Xenopus tropicalis: one gene and its partner. The protein of the gene in region 2 purifies or fractionates together with the protein of the main gene of each other region. This does not show direct contact. Links are inferred from orthologs where the notes say so. Each region holds a gene or a part of one and is shown on either strand. Other genes may lie near its edges.

Region 1 (8,881 bases), on a different chromosome or scaffold from region 2:
TAAATGTACATGATATTTTGGGTTTCTGTACCAGCCCAAGGCACCCACAGCCCTTTAGCAGGGAAGATCTGTGCCCCCCAAGATGCCCCAGTAGCCCCCCATCTTCATTTCTGCTGATTCCCAGCACATACTATGTGCTGCTGTCACTTACCTGAGTTTAGGGACCCACTCACAATATACAGTATATATACAATATAAATGTCACAATATAAGGCTGACTAGTAATTAATACAGATCATTGCTATATGGCAGCTCTGAAACCAGTGCAATTAGCAGCAGATTAATTGGCCCTGTAGCATCAGCTTATATGACAGGCCAACCTTATTTTCTGATTGATAATTTATGATGACCCCTAAAGCTTTTATTCTTAACGGTCTCTGATACCCCCACCCCATCCTGGTCAAGCAGGACCCTATGTATGATGCCGTTGCAATATAACCTTACCCTTATAGATACAGTATCTAATAATCAAGCCCACTACACTATGGGCTGTTTACAGCAAATACATTGCAGATACAAGGGGTCACACCAAGCCCCATAGTCACTGTAGATATGGGGGCTGCCCCCCCGGCCACCATTATGTTATATCTACAGTGAATTCTTTGCAGACAGCCCTCAGTCTTCAGATTATTTCCCCAATATGTAGCCTTCAATTCTTACTTTGATGGCATCTCTTCTCTTCTGCTCAGCCTGGGTGTGTGCCCGTCTGCGTCGGTCCTTGTAGTCATTTTTTATGGTCTCTTGGCGGTCATCACTGTCCTCGTCATCTGAGGTTAGGGAACAAGCATTGTCCATCATGTTGCAGGCTACAGAAACGGTGAGGCACATAGATGCTATTTAACACCATGATAAGCCAAACCAACCATCTGTCCTTTACCATATAAAGAGAGAGTGCTGCACAGTGCCAAATTAAACTAATAGTTATCAGCTAAGAAGTTATTGATTTCTGCCCAGAAATTGCTGCAATTGCTATTTCACAGTTTGCGTTCAAACATAATTTCCTTCTCATGAGTGGTATCGAAATTTGGAGCAGAGCAGATTGACAGGGAATTTACCCCCAGCCTAAAATATAATTCCTCCTTATTGGGGGTAGAACAGTCCTATTGGGTTTATTTAATGGTTAAATGATTCCCTTTTCTCTGTAATAATAAAACAGTACCTGTACTTGATCCCAATTAAGATATAATTACCCCTTATTGGGGGCAGAACAGCCCTATTGGGTTTATTTCATGGTTAAATGATTCCCTTTTCTCTGTAATAATAAAACAGTACCTGTACTTGATCCCAACTAAGATATAATTACCCCTTATTGGGGCAGAACAGCCCTATTGGGTTTATTTCATGGTTAAATGATTCCCTTTTCTCTGTAATAATAAAACAGTACCTGTACTTGATCCCGACTAAGATATAATTACCCCTTATTGGGGGCAGAACAGCCCTATTGGGTTTATTTCATGGTTAAATGATTCCCTTTTCTCTGTAATAATAAAACAGTACCTGTACTTGATCCCGACTAAGATATAATTACCCCTTATTGGGGCAGAACAGCCCTATTGGGTTTATTTCATGGTTAAATGATTCCCTTTTCTCTGTAATAATAAAACAGTACCTGTACTTGATCCCAACTAAGATATAATTTCCCCTTATTGGGGGCAGAACAGCCCTATTGGGTTTATTTCATGTTTAAATGATTCCCTTTTCTCTGTAATAATAAAACAGTACCTGTACTTGATCCCAACTAAGATATAATTACCCCTTATTGGGGCAGAACAGCCCTATTGGGTTTATTTAATGGTTAAATGATTCCCTTTTCTCTGTAATAATAAAACAGTACCTGTACTTGATCCCAACTAAGATATAATTACCCCTTATTGGGGGCAGAACAGCCCTATTGGGTTTATTTCATGGTTAAATGATTCCCTTTTCTCTGTAATAATAAAACAGTACCTGTACTTGATCCCAACTAAGATATAATTACCCCTTATTGGGGGCAGAACAGCCCTATTGGGTTTATTTCATGGTTAAATGATTCCCTTTTCTCTGTAATAATAAAACAGTACCTGTACTTGATCCCAACTAAGATATAATTTCCCCTTATTGGGGGCAGAACAGCCCTATTGGGTTTATTTCATGTTTAAATGATTTCTTAGTACACGTAAGGTATGGAGATCCAAATTACGGGAAGACCCCTTATCTGCAAAACCCCAGGTCCAGGGCATTGTTGGTAACATGGTCCATACCTGTACTACTTTTGGAAAATATTTTTCACAGTTTAGAATTTATATTTAATCTTAAAGCCTGAAATGTACTTGAATAAAAACATAAAATAGAGCAACCCTCAATGGGTGGAAGGTGAGGTTAATCATGTGCAAACAGTTTTAGGATTTACCTGTATTGGGCACTGAAGATGCACTTGTGGATCCAATGCTGTTTGCTCTGGACACTAAACTTCCCTTCTGCTCCATGACAGGAACTGCAAAAAGATAAAATCATATATACTAAATTAATATGAATGCACCCATGCCAAGTCTGTTGTGATCCAGTTCTTACAGTATCAACAGATTGGATTATTGCCCAAACGTCATGCATTTATTAGGCCGCTTTCTACTTCCAAATTAAACATTACCCCACCCGCGTGTACTAAAAAGCACTTACTTTGCCCAGGGGCAGTAACCCATGGTAACCAATAATGTTGTTTTAAAACAGGTCTGCCTCTCTTGGAATTGCTCTTGTTGTGCCGATAGATTTACTGCTTTCAGACAGAGGAGGGCGCTAACCCTCTATACCAAGCACTGGGATGACTGATTTAAAGACAGGAAGGTGTGTTTGTGGGTAACTAACCAGTTGCTAGGAGCAAATTTGCCCAGTGTTTATAAATGGGCCCCCCTGTTTCTTTTATTTATTTATTTTATTTCACTTTTGGTTCAGCAGCTCTCCAGTTTGGAGTTGCAGCAGCTATCCGGTTGCTCGGGTCCAAATTACCTTAGGGAGTGGTTTGAAAGATGGACAGGTATATGAATAGGAGAGGGGCCTAGAAAAATAAGTCATGAAAGTAACAATAATAATAAAACTGGAGCCTCACAGAGCAATAGTTTTCTGGCTGCCGGGGTCAGTGACCCCCAATTTGAAAGCTGTAAAAACTATAACAAATAAATAATGAAGACCAAATGAAAAGTTGCTTAGAATATTATTTAACATACTAAAAGTGAACATAAAGGTGAACTTCCCCTTTAAAGCCGTATTTCAAAACCATAGTCCAAAGCCACCACATTACGCTTTCCTGGGGTTTAAACAGTTTGATTTTGGAGATAATATACACAGTTAATATAATTTACCTGAGTTTTATAAATATAATGATGCAGATCAGGTAAAAGCAATGTCTCCCTGATATTTACAGTTACAGGTATACAGGTTATCCAGAATGCTTGAGACCAAGGGTATTCCAGATAAGAGGTCTTTCCATAATTTGGATCTTCATACCAATAAGGGGTAATTATATTTTAGTTGGGATCAAGTACAGGTACTGTTTTATTATTACAGAGAAAAGGGAATCATTTAACCATGAAATAAACCCAATAGGGCTGTTCTGCCCCAATAAGGGGTAATTATATCTTAGTTGGGATCAAGTACAGGTACTGTTTTATTATTACAGAGAAAAGGGAATCATTTAACCATTAAATAAACCCAATAGGGCTGTTCTGCCCCAATAAGGGGTAATTATATCTTAGTTGGGATCAAGTACAGGTACTGTTTTATTATTACAGAGAAAAGGGAATCATTTAACCATGAAATAAACCCAATAGGGCTGTTCTGCCCCAATAAGGGGTAATTATATCTTAGTTGGGATCAAGTACAGGTACTGTTTTATTATTACAGAGAAAAGGGAATCATTTAACCATGAAATAAACCCAATAGGGCTGTTCTGCCCCAATAAGGGGTAATTATATCTTAGTTGGGATCAAGTACAGGTACTGTTTTATTATTACAGAGAAAAGGGAATCATTTAACCATGAAATAAACCCAATAGGGCTGTTCTGCCCCCAATAAGGGGTAATTATATCTTAGTTGGGATCAAGTACAGGTACTGTTTTATTATTACAGAGAAAAGGGAATCATTTAACCATGAAATAAACCCAATAGGGCTGTTCTGCCCCCAATAAGGGGTAATTATATCTTAGTTATATCTAAGTTATATCTTAGAGTCTATGGGAGACAGGCTTTCCATAATTTGGAGCGTTCTGGATATCGGGTTTCCAGATAATGGATCCAAGCCTTGATACAACTGTAAGCATTTATTATAAAATAAAAACCAATAAAAGACAGTTATTAAGTATATGAAAGACTTACCCGGCCTCACATTATCACATAGGGAACATCAGGCTAGAAGGAAGAGTGAGAAGGATGAATACAAAGGGTTACAAACAGGCTATTAGAGCATAAGACATGTTTGCTGTAAGCATTAAGGGATCACACTATAAATGCCTGGGAATTGAATTCTATGGATATTAGACCAGGGGGTATAAAGTAATATTTGGGAGGGGGAGTTCCCCTTTAACGTATTAACCCTCTCCTATCCGTACAATGCTGATGGGATTACATTACAAGCTGCTTTCCCCTGTCAGTTTGGCAGCACTTCCCCAAATGGAAGGTTCCCGCACACGGACCTATTTACATTGAGCTCCGCTTCCAGTCGGTAACTCACACAACAGAACCGACAGCCGTCCCGCCCGGAGCTGCTGATATCGTCGTCCCGGAGCGCTGATTAAACGCCCCACAACCCCTTCCTATAGCGCAGCCCCTCAGCCCCTCAGCTGCTTCCCGACAGCTCCCCCAGAATTTCCTCCAAATCTCGCGAGAGTGTGACGTGCGACTACCGAGGATCCCAGGGCTGCCAAAATAGTACATTTCCAGTCATATATTGTTCGTTTTCATACTAGGTGGGTTGTTAAAGTCCAACGAATAAAATACTAATAATATCCTGAAACTACACGCACAGCAAAACTTTCTCAGCCCTACCTGCCCCGCCTCTTCCCTTTTCCTGGTAAATAACCCCAGTGCATACTGGGTAATGTAGTTCTTGTTTTAGCTGTCGCCTGATACTACGCTTTGAATAAACTACATTACCCAGCATGCAATGGAATAGGGTGGTTCGGGAGTCAATGAGCAGCCCCTCAGACTGAGCTCTATCTCCTCTTTAGGATGCTACTGAGTTGTTTGGGGGGCTCTAAGGTGCTGAGTGTAGAGGGAGGTAGATGGGCCATGGGAGGCAGGTATCCCTGTATATAGAGGAGATTTGGTGGGAGGTTGTCATATCCCAGCTCCCTGCCTGGCTGATGCAGTTTGGTTGGCTGAGGAGGGGTTAACTTACCCTTTAAATACCTAAAATCCTGCCTGTGTGTGGGGGGCTGCCTGAACTATAACTTCCAGAATCCCATAAATGGAGGGGAGTAGGTTGCACCTCTGGCATTGAACTTCATTACATTCAGGGATGTTTTACCTACGTCTCTTTGCTCATTGAATTACAACTCCCGGCACCCCCAGAAGCTTTGAGCTGATAGGCAGTTTGTTACCCTGTTGGTAGAATGAGATGGCTAGAAAGGGGGGACCCTTTACAGGCCCCGGGGGCCCCGCAGAGCAATAGTCAGGGCACAACATTGGGTCCTCCTATACTTATTTACAGGGAGTGCACTATAATTGTGTGTATAGCAAGGCAAGATGGGGTCAGGGGTGGGACTGTGTGTATAGCAAGGCAAGATGGGGTCAGGGGTGGGACATTGTGTATAGCAAGGCAAGATGGTGTCAGGGGTGGGACTGTGTGTATAGCAAGGCAAGATGGGGTCAGGGGTGGAACATTGTGTGTATAGCAAGGCAAGATGGGGTCAGGGGTGGGACTGTGTGTATAGCAAGGCAAGATGGGGTCAGGGGTGGAACATTGTGTGTATAGCAAGGCAAGATGGGGTCAGGGGTGGGACTGTGTGTATAGCAAGGCAAGATGGTGTCAGGGGTGGGACATTGTGTGTATAGCAAGGCAAGATGGTGTCAGGGGTGGGACATTGTGTGTATAGCAAGGCAAGATGGTGTCAGGGGTGGGACTGTGTATAGCAAGGCAAGATGGTGTCAGGGGTGGGACATTGTGTGTATAGCAAGGCAAGATGGGGTCAGGGGTGGGACATTGTGTGTTATAGCAAGGCAAGATGGGGGTCAGGGGTGGGACATTGTGTGTATAGCAAGGCAAGATGGTGTCAGGGGTGGGACTGTGTGTATAGCAAGGCAAGATGGGGTCAGGGGTGGGACATTGTGTGTATAGCAAGGCAAGATGGTGTCAGGGGTGGGACATTGTGTATAGCAAGGCAAGATGGGGTCAGGGGTGGGACATTGTGTGTATAGCAAGGCAAGATGGTGTCAGGGGTGGGACATTGTGTGTATAGCAAGGCAAGATGGTGTCAGGGGTGGGACATTGTGTATAGCAAGGCAAGATGGTGTCAGGGGTGGGACTGTGTATAGCAAGGCAAGATGGTGTCAGGGGTGGGACATTGTGTGTATAGCAAGGCAAGATGGGGTCAGGGGTGGGACATTGTGTGTATAGCAAGGCAAGATGGTGTCAGGGTGGGACATTGTGTGTATAGCAAGGCAAGATGGTGTCAGGGGTGGGACATTGTGTGTATAGCAAGGCAAGATGGGGTCAGGGGTGGGACATTGTGTGTATAGCAAGGCAAGATGGTGTCAGGGGTGGGACATTGTGTGTATAGCAAGGCAAGATGGTGTCAGGGGTGGGACATTGTGTGTATAGCAAGGCAAGATGGGGTCAGGGGTGGGACATTGTGTGTATAGCAAGGCAAGATGGTGTCAGGGGTGGGACATTGTGTGTATAGCAAGGCAAGATGGTGTCAGGGGTGGGACTGTGTATAGCAAGGCAAGATGGTGTCAGGGGTGGGACATTGTGTGTATAGCAAGGCAAGATGGGGTCAGGGGTGGGACATTGTGTGTATAGCAAGGCAAGATGGGGTCAGGGGTGGGACATTGTGTGTATAGCAAGGCAAGATGGGGTCAGGGGTGGGACATTGTGTGTATAGCAAGGCAAGATGGTGTCAGGGGTGGGACTGTGTGTATAGCAAGGCAAGATGGGGTCAGGGGTGGGACATTGTGTGTATAGCAAGGCAAGATGGTGTCAGGGGTGGGACATTGTGTGTATAGCAAGGCAATATGGTGTCAGGGGTGGGACATTGTGTGTATAGCAAGGCAAGATGGGGTCAGGGGTGGGACATTGTGTGTATAGCAAGGCAAGATGGTGTCAGGGGTGGGACATTGTGTGTATAGCAAGGCAAGATGGGGTCAGGGGTGGGACTGTGTGTATAGCAAGGCAAGATGGTGTCAGGGGTGGGACTGTGTGTATAGCAAGGCAAGATGGTGTCAGGGGTGGGACATTGTGTATAGCAAGGCAAGATGGTGTCAGGGGTGGGACATTGTGTATAGCAAGGCAAGATGGTGTCAATTTAGGCTTATAATGTAAAGCTGTGGCAGGTTCCCAAGTACAAACCCACTAAGGTACATGTTGCGGCTACTTTGTGGTGTCTGGGTGGGAAGTGTGGCTGGTTGCTAACGGCTGGTATGGCTAGCAGAGGTGGAGCAGATGGTGTTGATGTTGAAGGGGTTGTCTATTCTGAGACAATTTGCAATTGGTCTTTATTTTGCCTTATTTGCAGTTTATAAGATTATTATGCATGTTATAATTTGGTATAGAATGGCAGTGGATCAGTTTCATCCTACACAGAGAATTTCTAGTCATTTCTCCCATGATAGATGTACAGGGGATACAGCATTACCCTGTGTAGTAAGTGAACCGTATGGGTTTTATGAACAAACATAACGGCTGGGAGGCGGGTACTGATAACGAGTGTTTGTATAACGAAGTGGTTTTCCATGACGCCCGGCGCTAATGAACTCGCAGCTTCTGCCTGGGATAGGGCTGCTAATCTGCTGCTTTCCTCTGCTTCCCCATCAATGGGATCATACACGGGATCTTACCGGAAGTTTCTATTGATACCAAGGTGATTGTAGGGCTTCTTTATGAACACAAGTCAGTTGTGTAAACATTGAAGAAAATTGTGCGTCCGTCAGAAATATCCTGATTAAGCACTGGTGCATATAGATACCAACGGGAGATCCTCTGCACCCATTATCTGTATATATGGGAACAATGGGAAGGGAGCAAGATGGCAGCTCCCAGTAGGTATCAGAATAGCACTCAATAGTAAGAAATCCAAGTCCGGCTTGGGACTCCTCCAGTTACATGGGAGTAGGAGAAACAATAGGTTAGCTGAAAGCAGTTCTAATGTGTAGCGCCGGCTCCTTCTGAGAGCTCAGACTCAGGCACACTTTACTGCTGCGCCGCAAGTTGGACTGATATCCCCCCCCTCACCCCCAGCAGCCGATCAGCAGAACAATGGGAAGGGAGCAAGATGGCAGCTCCCAGTAGGTATCAGAATAGCACTCAATAGTAAGAAATCCAAGTCCGGCTTGGGACTCCTCCAGTTACATGGGAGTAGGAGAAACAATAGGTTAGCTGAAAGCAGTTCTAATGTGTAGCGCCGGCTCCTTCTGAGAGCTCAGACTCAGGCACACTTTACTGCTGCGCCGCAAGTTGGACTGATATCCCCCCCCTCACCCCCAGCAGCCGATCAGCAGAACAATGGGAAGCGAGCAAGATAGCAGCTCCCAGTAGGTATCAGAATAGCACTCAATAGTAAGAAATCCAAGTCCGGCTTGGGACTCCTCCAGTTACATGGGAGTAGGAGAAACAACAGGTTAGCTGAAAGCAGTTCTAATGTGTAGCGCTGGCTCCTTCTGAAAGCTCAGAATTAAGGTGGCCATACACGCACCG
Region 2 (9,104 bases):
ACACTAAAATGTCACTGGTTGAAGGCACACATGTTAAATTAGGGCCACAGGTAACAGAAAATGTAATGCCATGACCGTCTTTAAAAGACACCTGTCTTAATGTATAGCTTTTTGTACATATACAGGCTTATTTATGATTGGTCAAGCCTTATAGCAGCTTTTAGGTGCTGAACTTTTTATTATTTAAGAATGCCCACTTGGGGGTAACCTTGCATGAGTTCCTTAAAGGAATACTGTCATGGGGAAACATGTTTTTTTCCAAAACACATCAGTTAATAGAGCTTCTCCAACAGAATCCTGCATTGAAATCCATTTTTCAAAAACACAACAGATTTTTTTATTTTTAATTTTGAAATTTCACATGGGGCTAGCCATATTCTTCATTTCCCAGGGTGCCACAACCATGTGACCTCTGCTCTGATAAACTTCAGTCACTTTACTGCTGAGCTGCAAGTTGGAGTGATATCCCCCCCCCCCCAGCAGCCGATCAGCAGAACAATGGGAAGGGAGTAAAAAAAGCAGCTCCCAGTAGGTATCAGAATAGCACTCCAAAAGGCTTGAACAATCATAATTGTGCCCTTAATGTATATATGTGTGTGTGTGTGTGTGTGTGTGTGTGTGTGTGTGTGTGTATTTATAATGTATACTAAGTTTACCTACACCTATGCTAAAGATGTTCAAACTCAAATCATGTTACTGTATATTGCCTAACAACAGGGTATATACATTTCTATATTAAGTCATAATGAACCAGCTGTGTTGTTTACAGGTGAAAGTGCCTGTTTTTCTTGTGCTTTACCCCAATGCCCTTTAAAGGGAGTGTTCACCTTTGTATTAACTTGTAGTTATAGATGGACCTGTTAAAAACAATTTCGATTGACCTTTATTATTTATTTTATACGTTTTTTTTTTAATATTAGCCTTCCTATTAAGCCTATTTCCAGCCTGCAACCAATCAATAGTTTTACTGTTATGCTTATATTTTGTTGCTTATCTCCCTTTTAAAGCTGATCTTCTAAACTTAAAATGCTGATGTCTACATCAAGCTAAAAGTTAAATATCCCTATAAAACACCTCCAGAGCAAATCCCAACTTTTTCAGCTTTGTCAAGGTGACAAAAACCTTTTACAGGATAAACTGATAATGCTTAATACACTGCTGACTTTTATATATACACAGAATTGGTTGGGCACATTGCACAATTTTGACCATACTGCCTGGCCATCTGGACATGTATGGTCAGTCAAGGAAGTGTTTCAGTTCAATAATCCTGCCAATTTCCTTCTCAATTTCTGCAACAACTCTTACTATTCCGATTGGGCTAGAAAGGAACAATAGAATGGTAGCCAGGGAGAATTAGGAAGGATTAACAGCAAAGTAGTGCAGTACAGATATCACCAGTTGAAGGTTCTGATTCCCACAAAAATTCCACAGTTTCCCATCCCGCTGCAGGAGGTTTCAAAAGGAGTGTGGGAGATTTATGTCTTATTTAAAATTCTGTACCCATAGAATAAAAGCAAATTTTAGCACATTTCCACCCTATCTGTTTAAGACATGATTTATGAAGGCAGCTGTCAACCAGAAACAGTGATCACTCTCAGGTTTACCTGCTTATTACAAGCATAATTTCAGGCATAGGTTCTTAAGAAAACATTGCTCACTTGCAGACCTAATCTAGGTTTTCTGAAGAAAAAGTTAAGATGTATGGTACTGCAATAGTGCGCCTATATACTGTACATACTGCAAATCATTTTGTTCTGCCACCCTGATGTGACAGGTTGGGTGGGCCACCTCTAGCAAGTACATACCCTCAGGCTTACACTGCCAACCAACCACATCCCAACCCTACCCACATTGCTTCCTTACTTGTGTTTTGTACCTATCTGCTTTATTAATATCAATTTGTATTTATTTTAACTTTTGCTGAGTGAAACATTAACTCACCTACAAAATATTTGTAGTGGCATCAAATATAACCTTTCTTTAAGAGATGCAAACTAAGTTGGCTTCATTAACCAAATTGGTAAAAACAAATTATTCACCTTATTTCATTACTATTTTCTGTTGTGGCTCAGTGGGTAGCAAATCTGCCTTGCAGCCTTGGGGAACAGAGTTTGATATGGGCCTGGACACTATCTGCAAAGACTCTGTATGTTCTCCCCACAACTAAATGGGTTTTTCCACTGTACTCCAGTACACTCCCAAAAACATACAGGCAGATTTACTGGCTACTGATTAAATTGACCATAGTGTTTGCTGAATGTGATAGGGATCTTAGATCATAAATTGCACTAATGTGAATCATTAGTAATCTCTGTATAGTGCTGCAGAATATATTGTCACTATATAAATGACAGGATATAAATATAATTCAGGAAGAAACTTCACATTATTAAATGGGATCATGGAAACCAATTTAATCAGCATGGAAACCCACCCTAGAAAAGTTAAGAATCGTTCTTCTAGTCAGTTGGCATTTTCTAGTTATCTAGTTTTCTAGACTTATGTACTGTGAAACAGCAGTCTGCGCTTGTTCATGAGGCCGTGTTTAACCACACACAGACAGAGAACAGCCCAGTGTTTAATGCCACAGATGTGCTGATCACTAGTCCATTAACTGATCCAGCGCCACACATTATTATTCCATTAGTCCCAACATAAAAGAGAGTGGCTATATTAGCTGTCCCATAAAAGTAGCTTTTCCATTAGCTTTCACACTGCCACAACTTCCCTCTGGTCTTTTGATTACCAATTTACCTAGAGGCATAACTCTTTTTGGCGCTATAACTAACATTAGCCCTTGAGCTTTTATACATCATTTCATACATGCTTAGTGCAGCATTCATAGAACTAGCCATATTATAAAGAAAGCGTTAATTACATGGTTTTTGGCAATGCAGCAGGTGATGTGCAGAGCTAGCAGCTGATGTAAAACAAAATGGCAGAAAGGCCAGAATTACAGATGCCACCAACCACTTCCCAAATAATGGGCCAGATTCAGTGTCATGACAAAAACCCTTCTCCAAACTCAATTTCAGATTTTTCCATAGAGCCCAATGCAATTCAATGAGAAAAACGTTATCATGGTTTATCTCATGAAAATTCTATTAAAGTCTATTTGGAAAAAAATAGAACTGAGTTAGGAGAAAATTTTAAATTAAATATCACTCAATTTTTCACATGATAAACTTTAAAATAACGGTTGCAAATAAAACTGAATCTGGCCCTTAATTTATTGAGCATTTTCATGCAATCATCTTTATAGTGGAAAGGTGGCCATACATGGGCAGATTTAAGCTGCCGATTTGGGTTCTTCAGACCAATTTGGCAGCTTATTTGCCCGTGTATGAGGACCTTTCCACTAAAAAGATGTCTGCATGATATTGCTCAATAGATGTTGGGCCAGATTCAGTATCATGAAAAGGAGTTATTTTATGGTTTATCACTCAAATTATGAGTGAGATTTAATTAATTCTCCTAACTCAGTTCCTGTTAAAAAACACAGCGATAATCCCCATAAATGCCATAGACACATATAAGTTTGCAAATCACATGGGCCTTGACTAAACTGTAAAATATATCCTTATTAAATGTCCTAATTTATTAAAGGGGTATGACGCTCATCTACATCTACACATCCATTATTACACCAACTTAAAAAAACAAAAACATTTTTATTGAAAAACTGGAGAATATGGCCCAGCATTTTAATAATAGTGGCCCAAGCAAGTCATGGGAGTGCCTGAAGTATTTCATTATGGTGTAGCCATAGCAATTGGTGTGGCCCCAGAATTTTTGATACATGGGCTAAAGCACTTTTTGAGACTTTGTCCCCAGTACTTCATGGCACAGTTGGCTTAGCATATGATGACACAGTGAGGCTCATTTATCAACGCTGGGCAAATTAGCCTGTGGACAGTAACTCACAGCAGCCAATCAAATTTTTGCATACATTGTTCTTCCTGCAGCTGGCTGAAAAAGGCCAATCACTGGTTGCTATGGGCTACTGCCCATGGGCAAATCTGCCAAGTATTGATAAATGAACCTTACTAGTGACTTCAGCAAATTGGCCCCAGAATTTCATGACACAATGAAACCAACATTCCATGACTAAGTATTGCCCCAGAAACTCATGGGACCCTTTGTGCTCTAGCACTTGCTCCCTTGAATAAAAGCATATTGCACCATTGTGTGTGACCTGCGTCGCCTGCCTCTTCCTAAGTTGCGCCTGTGCCTTCTAAAGCTGTGCTCTGCTCCTCACATTGGATTTTTGATCTGGCGCCAGAAGCAGAGTACATAATTCCACTGGGCGCACATAATTGCTAGGTAAAGACTATGGGAAGCCCACTTGTGCACCTTAGTTTCTGCACCATGGGGGCACAGCCTGGAAATAACTGACCACTAGGAATAAAAAATATTAATTTTACAATTACTTATTGATATAAAGCCTTCTGCACTCATTGGACAATGGGAACTGTAGTACAAGAACAGCTGGAGTAGCAGCAAAGGAACCATTCCTTGCTGATACTTAGCTGGAAGCCCACTGATCCCTTGAAGGTGAGTTATCTTTTTGTACCTTACAATCAAACCAGCTTTGTTCTTTTTAATTCCAAATCTTTACTAGACCCCAACAATAATCCCCCCCAGTTCAACACGTCCCAGTAGGGTTCAGATTTCTGGCACCCCAAACTCCTATTTACTATCACCCCAAACAAAATTAACCCATGCAGCTCCAAAAAAGATCCACTGTCTCTGCCCTGACAAATGTATCCCTCTGCAGCTCCACTGTTCTCCTAGTTTATGAGCTCTGTATTACTTAGCTATTTATATAAATCCAAGATTCATGCATAAAGGTTGCACTTTTCCGATCAGCTATCATATAAGGATGCAAACAAAAGCAAAGAGTTTACGAATATGTGGTATGTGCATGATAAAGCTACACACACGGTTTCCTGGCTCAGAGAATCCAGCTATCACTAGCCCCTCCCCTGCTGGGCTGCTACAGTTACACTGGGAAGGAGAGCAGCAGAATAGAAGCAGGAGCGGAGGAATATTTAACTCCTCAGCCAGCAAGGTGGGGTACAACTACACAGGGGCAGGATTATTGACTTTTGCCCCCTTGTCACCCCCTTCTTCCCGCCATGCACTTCGCACAGAACACGTTGACGCTATAAACTTGCAAGCTCCCCTACAAACAATTATCAGTTAGAGACTTGCTCAGCATAACATTTTATTTAGGGTAGTTTAGCCCCTAATACCCCTATGTTTAATGGCATTGCAGCTGGTATGTAGCCATACAAGCCAAATGTGTGTAGCCCTTGTACCTACCTGTATGCCAGACTCATACACTCGAACAGCCGAGTCAGTGTGGGATCAATGGTCCCGGCTGGCAGGTTCCCTGGCCGCTGCAGTTCACTTCTCCTGTGCTTGTCATCTCCATGTGGGGACGATACCATGAAGTGCCCGCTATGAATGATCTGATGCCGGGGCCCCAGTCCCTCACAGTCTGAGTCCGAATCAGAGTCTGCATTAGAACTCCGGAGTTGATTCGTGCCGCAGCCTGCCATGGTGTGGGATAATCCCAACGTACACCGAAGCGCAAGTGACAGAAGAGCAGTCACAGACACGCCCACCCACCATAGGTGAAAGGCCCATCCAACCAGAAAACCTCCAATCGCCTGCCATAGATCAGCATAACCACGCCCCATTAGACACTGTTCTAAACCTGCAGGCTGACAGCCCGAGAGTCCCACCCATCTCCCAGAAGTGACCAATGACAGCTGCAATGTAAGTACGGGGTAGCAGGTTGTGTACTTGGTTTTGGCTGCAGCACCTCGGAAACCTTCTCTCAGGTTATGTAATTCCAATGTAAGGTGTTATCCCAGAATCCTCCTTGCCGCCTTGTGATTCATCACTGGTTGGTTCCATGGGATGTGGCAGCACAGATTGTGCTTTGAACTTTGCACTCTCCTTACTTTAGCTGGATGTCATGCCATACATTGCCAACCCCTCTCTATGTTTCCATGTAACGCTTGCCTTCTCATAATGTTGTAGTGGAATCACAGCAAATCCTCTCTAAACATATCTCTTTGTAAATATTCCCTACCCAGCCTGTTGCACTTATGCTAAGCAAGTCTCTTAACTAATAATTGTATGTGAGGGGGGCTGCAGGTTTAAAGCACCAATGAGGGGGGGGGGGTACAGGGGTAATAATCGGCCCCTGGGTTGTTCTACAGCACTTTGCTGCCTGAGAAGTTTGCTCTGTTCCTGCCCATGCTGCTCTGCCCTGTCCTCCCTCCCAGTGTAAATTTTAGCCTGCCCAGCAAAGGGGGAGGGGGTGCTTCATTGAGCCAGGAAACCAATGCAGATAGCAGGAGAAGGACTATAAAATAAACTATTGAACAAATATTAATTTATTTAGCTTAGCTGTAATAATTAAGGCAATTATGAAAAAAATATGCCTGAATGACAATGAAAGCCCTAACATATGCACCGTCTGGGGTGTTATTCACCAGGGATTATATTTACTGAGCCAGGTATAGATTGAAATTCCAAATAGGCCCTGGCATTTCAAGCATAAAGAGGTCCGAACAGGCCCCACCAGCCCAATATTTTATTACTGTCTGTGGTATCTTACAGCAGTCCCTAGGGTTGCCAGCTGGTCGGCATTTTACCAGCCTGGCCAGTAAAACACCTGCCAAGGCAAGCAATCAGATCTCAGTCCATACCTGGCTCCAATATAACATAGGAATGTATACTATAGCAAGGAATTAAAAAGCAAGGAAAACCCTCTTTACCGAGGGGCATCAAAATGTTAGGGTGCACCCATAATGCTTGGGACCTGGGGTTTTCTGGATAAGGGGTCTTTCCTTAATTTGGCTCCATACCTTAAGTCAGTGATCCCAACCAGTGGCTCATGAGCAGCATCTTGCTCACCAAGCCATTGGATGTTTCTCCCAGTAGCCTCAAAGCAGGTGCTTATTTTTAAATAATTGGCTTGGAGGCAAGTTTTGGTTGCATAAAAACCAGGTGTACTGTCAAACAGGGCCTCCTGTAGGCTGACAGTCCACATAGGGGCTACCAAATAGCCAATCACGGCACATATTGGACACCCCCAGTAACTTTTTGCATGCTTGTGTTGCTCTCCAACTTTTTTTTATTTTTGAATGTGGCTCATGGGTAAAAAAAAGTTGGGGATCCCTGTTAAGTCTACAAAGAATTGAAACATTAATTCAACCAAATATGATTATTTTGCTTCCAATGTATTACATATATCTTAGTTGGGATCAGGTACAAGCTACTGTCATACCCCCCAACTGTCCCGCTTTTCGCGGGACAGTCCCGGTTTTTACAGCGCGTCCCGCTGTCCCGGATTGTTCAATGAATGTCCCGCATTACGGAAATGCAGAACATTCATTAAACTATCCAGGCCAGCGGATCGCTCCGGCTCCTTCTTCTTGGGCTCCCGCTCCTTATTCGGCTCCTCGTACGGCGGCGACAGGTCCTTTTATAAGGTTGCGCACGGGCGCAACCTTATAAAAGGACCTGTCGCCGCCTTACGAGGAGCCGAGTAAGGAGCAGGAGCCCAAGAAGTCTATGGGGGCTGCTATGTATGAGGTAATCACTATGGGGGCAGTTGGGGGGGCACTGTGTATGGGGGGGCTCTGTGTATTGGGGGCTCTGTGTAAGGAGGGCTACTGTGTATGGGGGGCACTGTGTATGGGGGGACACTGTGTAAGGAGGGCTACTGTGTATGGGGGGGGCACTGTGTATGGGGGGAACTGTGTATGAAGGGCTACTGTGTATGGGGGGGCACTGTGTAAGGAGGGCTACTGTGTATGGGGGCACTGTGTATGGGGGGGCACTGTGTATGGGGGGAACTGTATGGGGGGACACTGTGTAAGGAGGGCTACTGTGTATTGGGGGCACTGTATGGGGGGGCACTGTGTAAGGAGGGCTACTGTGTATGGGGGCACTGTGTATGGGGGGCACTGTGTATGGGGGCACTGTGTAAGGAGGGCTACTGTGTAAGGAGGGCTACTGTGTATGGGGGCACTGTGTATGGGGGAACTTTCTATGGGGGTATTGTGTATGGAGGGTACTTTCTATGGGGTGCTGCCTATTGGGCCATCGTGGGCACTATTTTAATAATGGGGTGTGGCAATTGGAGCGTGGCCACAAAGTGGGCGTGTCCAAAAAAAAAATTTTTTTTTTTGGCCACGCCCACTTTGTGGCAAGTCTTTTTGTCCCTCTTTTCATTTTTCAAATGTTGGGAGGTATGTACTGTTTTATTAGTTGCCCAGGACAACAACATCTTTGGTTTCTCCAAATCAATACACCATATTACTATTAGGAAAAGGAAAAAACAGAGCACATCCAAAGTAGCATAGTGTAGTACTTTACAAATATCAATCCAGATTTAGAGACACTCTCACCATCTTTCATAAGGGATAGGAGCATCAGTGTACCCAGCATCATTTAAAAATTAGCGGTTGCTAAGGGGTCCTCATAGCAACCCATAATCACTACAGTACAATGCTAATACATACTATAAAATTAACAGCAGCTAAATTCAAACCTTTATTAAGACCTAGCAGGTCAAGAGTATTTAGCCTATAAATCCAAAACGTTTCTTGTTGGTGTAATTCCAAAAATCTATCACCACCTCTACTGGAATTGGAAATGTGTTCTAAGCCTATAACTTAAAACACATCTGCGTTAGAGGAATGTTTTTCTAGAAAATGCAAAGAAACACCATGCTTCCAAAAGCATTTCTTGATAATACGAACATGTTTACTAATTTAAGTGCCCAGAGAACGTTTGGTACATCCCACATATTTTAATCCACATGGACAAATCAGTAGATAAACCCTATAAATGGTCTTACACTTCATAAACCACTTGGATATTGGGATATCATACCTAGAAACCACATATCTACAAGTGCAACATCTATTGCTGTGGCACTTGTATGTTCCTGTCAAGTGTCCATATAACCGTGCTGGCCTGAATTTTGGGAAAATGTTTGAAGAAGCTACCATTTTATTTAGGGTTTTTGCTTTCTTACGAAAAAAACAACGGCACCAGCACTTGATCTGCCTGTA

The links.
Region 1: the proteins of mlxipl (region 2) and mlx purify together in Homo sapiens (affinity purification with western blotting; 3 studies listed by BioGRID and IntAct, counting the BioPlex papers as one, with this or other methods). This does not show direct contact. The link is inferred for Xenopus tropicalis from reciprocal best matches to the Homo sapiens genes MLXIPL and MLX.

Annotation. Positions count from the first base shown.
Region 1 is NC_030686.2:6,142,303-6,151,183, forward strand, and holds the start of mlx (max-like protein X), read right to left. Parts: upstream 4,979-8,881; 5' UTR 4,703-4,978; exon of another isoform or gene 4,665-4,702; intron 4,381-4,664; 5' UTR 4,348-4,380; intron 2,474-4,347; 5' UTR 2,466-2,473; coding exon 2,390-2,465; intron 807-2,389; coding exon 661-806; intron 1-660. UniProt on the Homo sapiens protein: Transcription regulator. Forms a sequence-specific DNA-binding protein complex with MAD1, MAD4, MNT, WBSCR14 and MLXIP which recognizes the core sequence 5'-CACGTG-3'. The TCFL4-MAD1, TCFL4-MAD4, TCFL4-WBSCR14 complexes are transcriptional repressors.
Region 2 is NC_030678.2:41,634,660-41,643,763, reverse strand, and holds the start of mlxipl (carbohydrate-responsive element-binding protein), read right to left. Parts: upstream 5,669-9,104; 5' UTR 5,568-5,668; coding exon 5,329-5,567; intron 1-5,328. UniProt on the Homo sapiens protein: Binds DNA as a heterodimer with MLX/TCFL4 and activates transcription. Binds to the canonical E box sequence 5'-CACGTG-3'. Plays a role in transcriptional activation of glycolytic target genes. Involved in glucose-responsive gene regulation.